2 linked regions of the Bombyx mori genome follow. The protein of the gene in region 1 interacts with the protein of each later gene in a pairwise test. Links are inferred from orthologs where the notes say so. Each region holds a gene or a part of one and is shown in the gene's direction. Other genes may lie near its edges.

What was found. The genes of interacting proteins can lie anywhere in the genome.
Region 2: the proteins of hexokinase type 2 (region 1) and quinone oxidoreductase interact in a two-hybrid assay, tested with the Caenorhabditis elegans proteins (2 studies listed by BioGRID). The link is inferred for Bombyx mori from reciprocal best matches to the Caenorhabditis elegans genes hxk-1 and ZK829.7.

The regions. Positions count from the first base shown.
Region 1 is NC_085129.1:8,962,114-8,966,661, reverse strand, and holds the start of hexokinase type 2, read left to right. Parts: upstream 1-1,742; 5' UTR 1,743-1,766; coding exon 1,767-1,859; intron 1,860-4,548.
Region 2 is NC_085107.1:1,996,378-2,000,724, forward strand, and holds the start of quinone oxidoreductase, read left to right. Parts: upstream 1-1,332; 5' UTR 1,333-1,655; intron 1,656-3,997; 5' UTR 3,998-4,033; coding exon 4,034-4,347.

The DNA.
Region 1 (4,548 bases):
ATTTCATTTGCTTTCATTGATTACACTGATAATCTAAAAGCCAGTGAAACCTGAAACCGTGCCAAAAACGTCACTGCGTTAAAAATATAAGTGTATGAACGCAAATATTACACTCCTATATACCTACCTACATAGACACATACTATACATACATACATACATACATATATTAGACATACTATTAGGTCTTTACCTACGAAATTACCGTTGATACTATAATAATAATATATTGACATACTGAAAGTAGGTCATTTTATTATTGTATTTCTATCAATATTTTTTTAACATTCTTTTTTTTCTATCAATCAAAATATGCATCCATGGTATCAATGCCTTTTTTTTAATTGATTATATGGGTGGACGAGTTCACAGTCCACCTGGTGTTAAGTGGTTACTGGAGCCCATAGATATCCACAACGTAAATGCGCCACCCACCTTGAGATATAAGTTCTAAGTCTCTTCAAACCGAAACGCATTACTGCTTCACGGCAGAAATAGGCGGGGTGTTGGTACCCACCCTCGCGGACTCACAAGAGATCCTACCACCAGTAAAACTGTCAGGGCAGACGCAATTTTTCAGCGCTCTTCTTGCAAAGTCAGTTGTACCCATTATTCAAAAGCACTTTGTACCGCCTCTCGGGTATCGAATATTTTCCCTCGAAACATGAGGTTGAGACACGAATATTTTCCCTGCCAAGAAGTTGTCAAAACTGTGTTGTGAAACAGTACAAGTCTGTCGGCGCAAGGTGTGGTGTGTACGGTGGATGACACAAACCTTCCAACCCTAGCTTTTGTAGTTTAGAGACCATCTGTTGTTTCACGGTCAAGCGTTATCGTGCAGGGGCAGTGGGGACAAGCGGTAAATTTCCGTTTTGGGCATTGCCTAGGAGCTGAACCAGGGTCTAATTAACATACTGATCCCTTAGGATTATCAAAAAGGGCCCATTTTTCATCGCATGTGACATTGCGGTTCAAGCTCCCTTCGTTTCTATGACTGTTAAGCAACGCAAGGCATATCTTCAGTTCAGAAAACAGTTTCCATGTTATTAAGTAAATTTTATTTGATGTTAGAATTTATTGTCAGCCAATACATTAAGTTTCGTACTGGCCAGGATTGTAAAACGGCAACTTATGGTAACAACTAGTTACTTATAGACCTATTATGAGGTATGCCAAAAACGGTATTACCAAACCTTCAATCCTCAGTTCAGATTTTCCTGCTATGACCTAACATAAGAATGAGTAAACTTAAGAATTATTGATACCTATTAATCATTACAATTTGCATTGGTTGTAATTTGTTTTGTGCGTCAATAATAATAATAAAAAAAAAGGTGGCCGCGACCCTCAGACATGAGAAACATAACTGGAGGAGCATTAATCATTACCCTTTAAACTATACTTTAAAATTAAAAAAAATGTATTACTTAAAATATTAAATGGTTACTTAAAATTACATACTTATAGGCAGTAATCAAGTTTTATTGAAAAAGTAATCCAGTTACAGGAACAATTTTAAGTCTAGCAAAAATATAAATCGTGCGACCACCACGACTCACCGCGTTACAGGTATATAAAAGCTTACACGAAGCAAATTTAATATGTCGTGTATGACAACAATAAAACTGTTCTATTGTATAATGCTTATAACAATTATAGCAATTCAGCGGTCGCAATTTAGATAAAGATAGCGCTGCTTTAAAGATAAGGGATGTTAATAAAGAGGCTCGATCAACAATTGTTTTGACAATTGTCACACTATTCTCATGTTGGCAGCGGTAAGAAGTACGTTCGCGGGTATCTGCTCGAAATCAAAGAAAACCAACAGTATGTGTGCCAACGATTTGATTCATTCCAGGGTAAGTAACCATCAGCTTAATAATGAATTAGTGAAGAGTTGTTACAACAGTATAAAATATCTTAAATTAAAAATGCATTTTTTTAGGTGCCCTTTAATCACAATTTTTGAAATTAAAATCAATTTCAGAAAATGAAAAGTCAATTTTACCTTCGATTCAATTCAATTTTAACATCCGTGACCCAGAGAGCTCTTTTAAAGTAGATTATCTACGATAGTTTAAGATTATCTACGATACTTTAAATCTAGATAACTGTCAATTATTTGACACCTACATAAGTAGTCACACCAATACCAAAATTTTTAAAGAAATAATGACTAACTCGTAAGACTTGGTCACGACTTCCACGCTAAAAGAATGACATTATTTAATAAAAATCAAAACCAAAAAAGCATTACATTACATTTCAGTAATTACCAGTGGTAGGACGTATTATACCTGCACGGGTTGGAACGCAAATTCCATCTTCCTGTCTATTTCTGCCGCGTAACAGTCATGGGTTTTGGTTTCATATTATTATGTATGTGGGACAGCCGCTTGACAATTTTAATAAGACTTCGAACTCATGTCTCAAGATGGATCGGCATTTACGTTGTGTTACGTTGTGACTGACTCGATGGTGCAGTAGTTAGTGGCCGTGGCTGTGCACTGAGGGTCGTTCGTTCGATTCCCACATCGGGCAAACATTCCTGTGATGAACAGATTTGCTTGGTCTCTGTCTCTGGGCGTTTATTATCTATTTATGAATTTATTTAAAGAAAGGTACATAAGTATCTATTTCAGTCTGGTACCCCTATCACAGACAATCCTAAATTAGACCGGATGACCGTGCGCGATCTGTTCCCAGTTATTATTATTATTATTATCATCTGTGGATCCCGGTAGCAACTGAACACCAAGTGGGCCGTGAACTCGTGCCATGAACAGTGCAATAAAAATATCGTAATCTTGAAACTTTCCAATAAACACATTATTATTTTACAAGTTCATCTAAGGATTAAAATTGAACTATAAAATTTGTTTGAAGATTACCGCCTCGTTCGATGTGTACTATAAAAAAAAGCGGATACGAGAAAGATAAGATAATAGTAATATTGTTTCCTATTATTGCTTTTAACAACATGTATTGTTTATAGCACCCAGAGATGGACGGATATCGAACATCTAAACAGATATTATGTGTTCGAAATACCTATTATTATCTATCTGTCTACCCATAATCCTTAGTCAGGGATATAATAAATTAGCTTCAAGAATAATTAAATCTGCAGCCAATGCATATAATATTGCAACATAATAAATAGTTATAGATTAGATAGATATCCGCTCTAATCTGACAAACGTTACGCAAGGTGGTGTCACCACTTCGATAAAGCGACACGACATGAGTACCCTCTCATCGTGGCCGCCGGTAATTACATTCCCGATCCTGCGGACAGAATGGAAGCAGTCGACGTCGCCCCAAACACGTCATTTCGGATCCTCCCGATCCACTAACGGTGTTTTTAGGTACCTCAAGCACCGGTCATCGTTCACGTCGAACCCGTCACTTGCGACGAAGGGATCGACGAGTAAATTAGCCCTCAGACACAGCCCACTGAGTTTCTCGCCGGATCTTTGCAGTGGGTCGTGTTTCCGATCTGGTGGTAGATTCTGCGAAGCACGGCTCTTGCTAGGGTTCGTGTTAACAACGTCGACAGGTTTGAGCTCACCTACTAGTTAAGGTTACGCTGAAATAGCCTCTCAAGGCTCTCAGCTTAGGTAGGGAAAAAAATGCAATCAAACTAATGTCGAATGTCTCTGGACAATGTAGGTACTCTTTTTGGCTGTAGTTCTTGCTAATAATAGTGGATCGGGAGGATCCGAAATGACGTGTTTTGGGCGACGTCGACTGCTTTGCATTCTGTCCGCAGGATCGGGAATGTAGTTGCCGGCGGCCACGACGAGAGGGTTCTAGTGCCGCTTTATCGAAGTGGTTTGATTGCGAGTGAATTAGTCACTGATGAGTAACCAATTTGTGATTGATCGCTACACATTCACTTAGCCACTGTAATACCTACGAACACTGCAAAATTCTTGATATTTATTAGTATGTTTCAACATTAATATTATTTTATGAGTCATGTATCTTTTAAGTATAGCGTCATTTTATCTTTAGATTGATTATGTTTTGATATAATTAAATATTATCCGGTCCAAAACCCTTAATCAGTAATATCGGAACATACCTATAACAATAAACGTGACTTGATGATCTAAATATCACATACCTACTGATGGTTTTATTGAATTATTCTAGCGACTCTACTATTTCCTGTGTCTAATAGGTACGTAACCAAAGCCCGTGAGCGTATAACCACTAATATATAAATTATGTTGATTAAAAAAATATAGCAGTACCTCATTTAACAAGTATTTACAAAATCAAAACAATCAGAACATTTCAATGACTTGTTCATCAGACCGTTTAAAAAATGCAACTTAAAACAATGGAGCCATTGGAATGCTAGACAAATATGAAAGTGTTAAAAACGTTGCATCAAATTTTACAATGAATAGTATTTAATATCTATTCATTATTATGTGGCTAAGGCGTATTAGTACGGCGTGATACGAGGCACGGAATGCAGATCTCGCGAGGTGAACACATGTGCACTAGTGTGATTCTCTTTGGCGTACATGCACGGAG
Region 2 (4,347 bases), on another chromosome or scaffold:
CTAGAGGCAATTGCAAATCATCCAAACGTTTACAATAAATATTGCCGAATAATAGAGCTTCGTAAAAATCCTCAAGATTCTTTTTTTCAACACATTTACTTCTACATGATGTATATACATCATTTATACAATTTATACATTTTCTTGTATATAAAAGATAAAATGTTTAAACTTATAAATATTTTTTAATTATTGAATTAACATGGAAGTTAACAACTGTTTTTTCGATTTAATAATTATATAAATTATGAACATTATCATTGCGCTTCATAATTTTATTATGGCTTTACCTATTTCATCATAGCGTTGTGCTTAATAATTTCACCAGCAGATAACAAACACGTCTTCATAATACAATGCTGTATGTTTTCCAAAGGCACATCAATATTACGGTTTTACATAACAATAAAACCGATATTATGTGCCGAGAAGGAAAACATACAGCATTGCAGGAAGTTCTTCCTGGTGAAGACTATGAAGATCAAAGATGGCTGCGCTCCCTTTATACTTGCTGGCAGCACCTAGCGGCTAAAGATGGAACTAAATTGACTGTCTATGGTTGGACATAGACAAGGAATCTAAGCTAAGTACACACTGTTTCTTCATAATACAATGCTGTATGTTTTCCTTCTCGGCACATAATATCGGTTTTATTGTTATGTAAAACCGTAATATTATTGATTGCGATTTTAATACATGAGCGAAAATGTCAAAATCAATCGCTAAACTTAAATAGCGGTAGCTTCAATTTTAGCTACAACATGGTTTGGAATCACGAATCGCTTTGTAAGTAAATAGAGCACGCTACTTGATTTTAGACATGAAGAATTAATTTTAAGAAAGTCGTAAATAATTTTAATTTCTTTAATGTAATTTTAATTACGACATTCACATTAACGTGAAAAATTAATGGATACATAAGAGAAAAATGAATTCCTCTTAAAAGAAAATGCTTATTCACTATCCTATATTTTCTTAGAATTTGGGTTTCACTTTAAGTGGGCCGTTAGTTTCTTATAATTTTAAAGATCTTGTCAATTGGAACAGCTTTAATATTTTGAAAATCAAGCATGTTTTGAAAAATATAGCATATTATGGTGAAGAAGTTCTGGCATGAAAACTGACATCTCAGTTTCATCCTTCTAGAATTCCAAAAATATTAACAACTGCTTAAAAAAATTAAGCTCAAGGTGTGTCTAGAAAGGATTATCTAGGGCCGAAAATTTAAAAGTGTCTCAGTAAGTTTTCAGTTTATACATGTAGCAGTTGTACGTATCGTTATCGTGAATCGACCTATGAAGAACTATGTTCATTTGAGGATAAAAAAAATTGTTTACAGACGCTGACCATGTTGAAGATTCAAAATGTACGTTAAATTAAATATATGTTAAATTAAAACAAATAGTAGGGAAAATTCGGAGCTTTGTCGTATTGCCAATATAAACACGTTCTGTTTTACGGTATTGTTTAAAATGACAAAGAATGAGTTCCTTTTTATTTGTTAAAATTGTGAAATAGATTTGTGCACGGAACGGCAGTGACGTCATGAGACTGTCATTTAATCGTGTAAATAAAATAAAACTTGTATTTAAAAATTATCCCGCGGCGACAAACGTCGCGTTGATCAGTGATTTCGTTGCTTATTGAATAATCAGGTAAAGTCGTAGAATTTCCAATTATTTGTTATTAGAGACAGCGTTTTATAAATTTTTATCTTAAAACAAATTAAAGCCACACTTTTTTTTTCCATGTGAAATATTTTTATGATATTAAATCAAAACGCGACACCGCTAGCATTGATCCTTGATTAAACATAGGTAGTCCTTTGTGTGGTGGTATTGTTTTTTTTTACATTCCTTCTGACCTTCGGACACAGGAAGGTCAGAGCGAACTTTATATACCTTTGTAATTCTAAGACGCGGACCGTGGTCAGGCAGCGGCGGTGTGATCACTGAGTGCATCATACGTGTTTATTATTGTCCTACTCTTGTTTGCTTACGAGATTCATAACATACCATGATGAATGTGCTATCACAGTTTGCTCCATACTATTTTTACTTTAATGGAAATACACACATACCAAGTGTACAGACTTCAATATTAATCTGGCGCTTGTGCCTATAACAGTAATTTTACAATTAGTAGTCCTGTGTGAATTTGTGTTGTTATAAATAAATCTTATTTGACTATATCTGTCCTTTGTTCCCACTACTGAGTTGTCTGCCCTTTGTTTGTGTCCAAATAATATGATAATGCATCTGTACACTATGATTGTCTTACATTATGGACCAACTATTAATATATAATTATGAAAACTAAATATAGTATTTCCCATTAGGAAGAAGTTATACATAAATTGCTATATCAATTATTGAGTTTCTCTTAATTGTTAAGTCAATAATTGATGGTTCTTGTTTCTTGCCAATTTGTGTACAGCTTAGTATCTTATGAATTACATGTATTTAAAAACTAATGATTCTTTTTATAACTAATACTAAAATTGTGTTATATAAACTTTAATATTCATATACTAATTTATCATACTAAAGTTCTTCTAATAATTATTTTTATAAATAATCTGAAGTGAAGTCTGGTATAACATTTGAAGCACTAAGTAATGTAAGATTAGTCATTGTGGCCCAGAAGATAACACACATGTTACATTCCTATTGAGTCACGTGACTATGCTGACGTTAAAAACCTGCGAGCGGTACCCATTTTTGTATTGAAATAACATGAATGACTTTCATGGTGAATAAATAACACTGTGAATTAAATATAGTATGTACCTCGAAAAATTTGAATTTGTGTATTTACTGATGATAGGCATCTTGTGACAGGTAAGTATGACCACTTTGCCTATTTCTGCTGCAGTAATGTGCTCTGGTTTGAAGGGTGGTGCAGCCATTTTACTCTAAAACTGACACTTTAGAACTCATGTGGTCAAGGTGGATGATGATATTTTCACTGTTGAAGTCTATAGGCCCCCGGTAATCACTTAACACCAGGTGAGCTGGGAGGTTTTTCACATGCCTTCCCTTTAAAAAATAAATCTACAAACAAACCCTAAATGTCTAATTAGAACTGATACTTGCAAGGTGAAATTGGTTAAAATTATATTTGTCTTTATTACATTGAGACCTGAATAGGCCAGAATCTGTACAATTATTTTCATTTTGAGCAATTTGCAGATGATTGCTCAATGATTCAGTGTACAGAGGTAACTTGCATGTCTTTTAATTCTTAGAGTTCCCTGCCACGTATTTCCTATGAATTATTTCTTTTGATTCAGAGTAGATGCAGATGAGTTCCATTATTTAGTAGTGTCCTGTATTAGCTACTTATAGATTATAGTCATCTGTGTTTACGGAAACATGAGGGTAAAAAGATATAAAATATAATGGTCTGAAAGCCACACCTGGTGCATTTAAATATATATTATATAGTTGCAGGCTATGTATGTAGCAGGATAATCCAGAATTGAATCAACTCATTATATTATATACCTGTAAAATCTCCCCATCAGTATTTAGAAACAAATTAAATGCAGTGTGGCAATTATGTGTTCTGTTTCGAAAGCTAGGATAGCAATTAGCCAATACAACTGCCACTTAACCTCATGTCTCTGGGTGGATAGGCTTAAACGTAGCATGTTGCCCATATCCACAGGTAATTCTATTAAGGAAGTGCTCTGGTAATTTTTATGACGATCCCAGTGTTATTCTCTTCTGTACATTTTATGTTTCCTAAGTAGGTTCTTAAAATGAATAGATACACATATTCGATTTCCCTAAATTAAAACTTAAGGTCATATTGTTAAACTAGGAATGTTTATATTATGAGTAATTGATTTGGTTTTAACAAGAAATCCATTCGAATCTCATCATAATTTTGTTATTTAAAAACAAAAAAACTATTAATTTATAGAGAATTACTTTCATAGGACATTTACAGAAATTTACATGGGTAAAATTATAATCCGATTTTTTGTTCCCAGTCACTTGAAACGGAATCATCGAGAAATAGCCGCAAGATGAGCAAATTGTGCAAACAAGTGTCGATCGAGTCTCCCGGACCGACCATAAAGGAATGTGTCTTTAGCTTTGACGTGCCAGTACCAGACGTGCCCCTCTACGGAGCTAGGATTAGAGTTGTGTACGCTGGAGCGTGTTACCGGGCTAACAGAACAAGATCGACTTCAGTGTGCAGTACTTCTTCTGTGTCTTCCATAGGCAGCTTTACTGGGGAGATGGATGGTTACGCTCATACCACGATTCCCGCCCATATCGGCATAAGAGACGGTGCGTTATTCCCTGGCTATGAAGTTGCGGGCATTATTGACGCCAT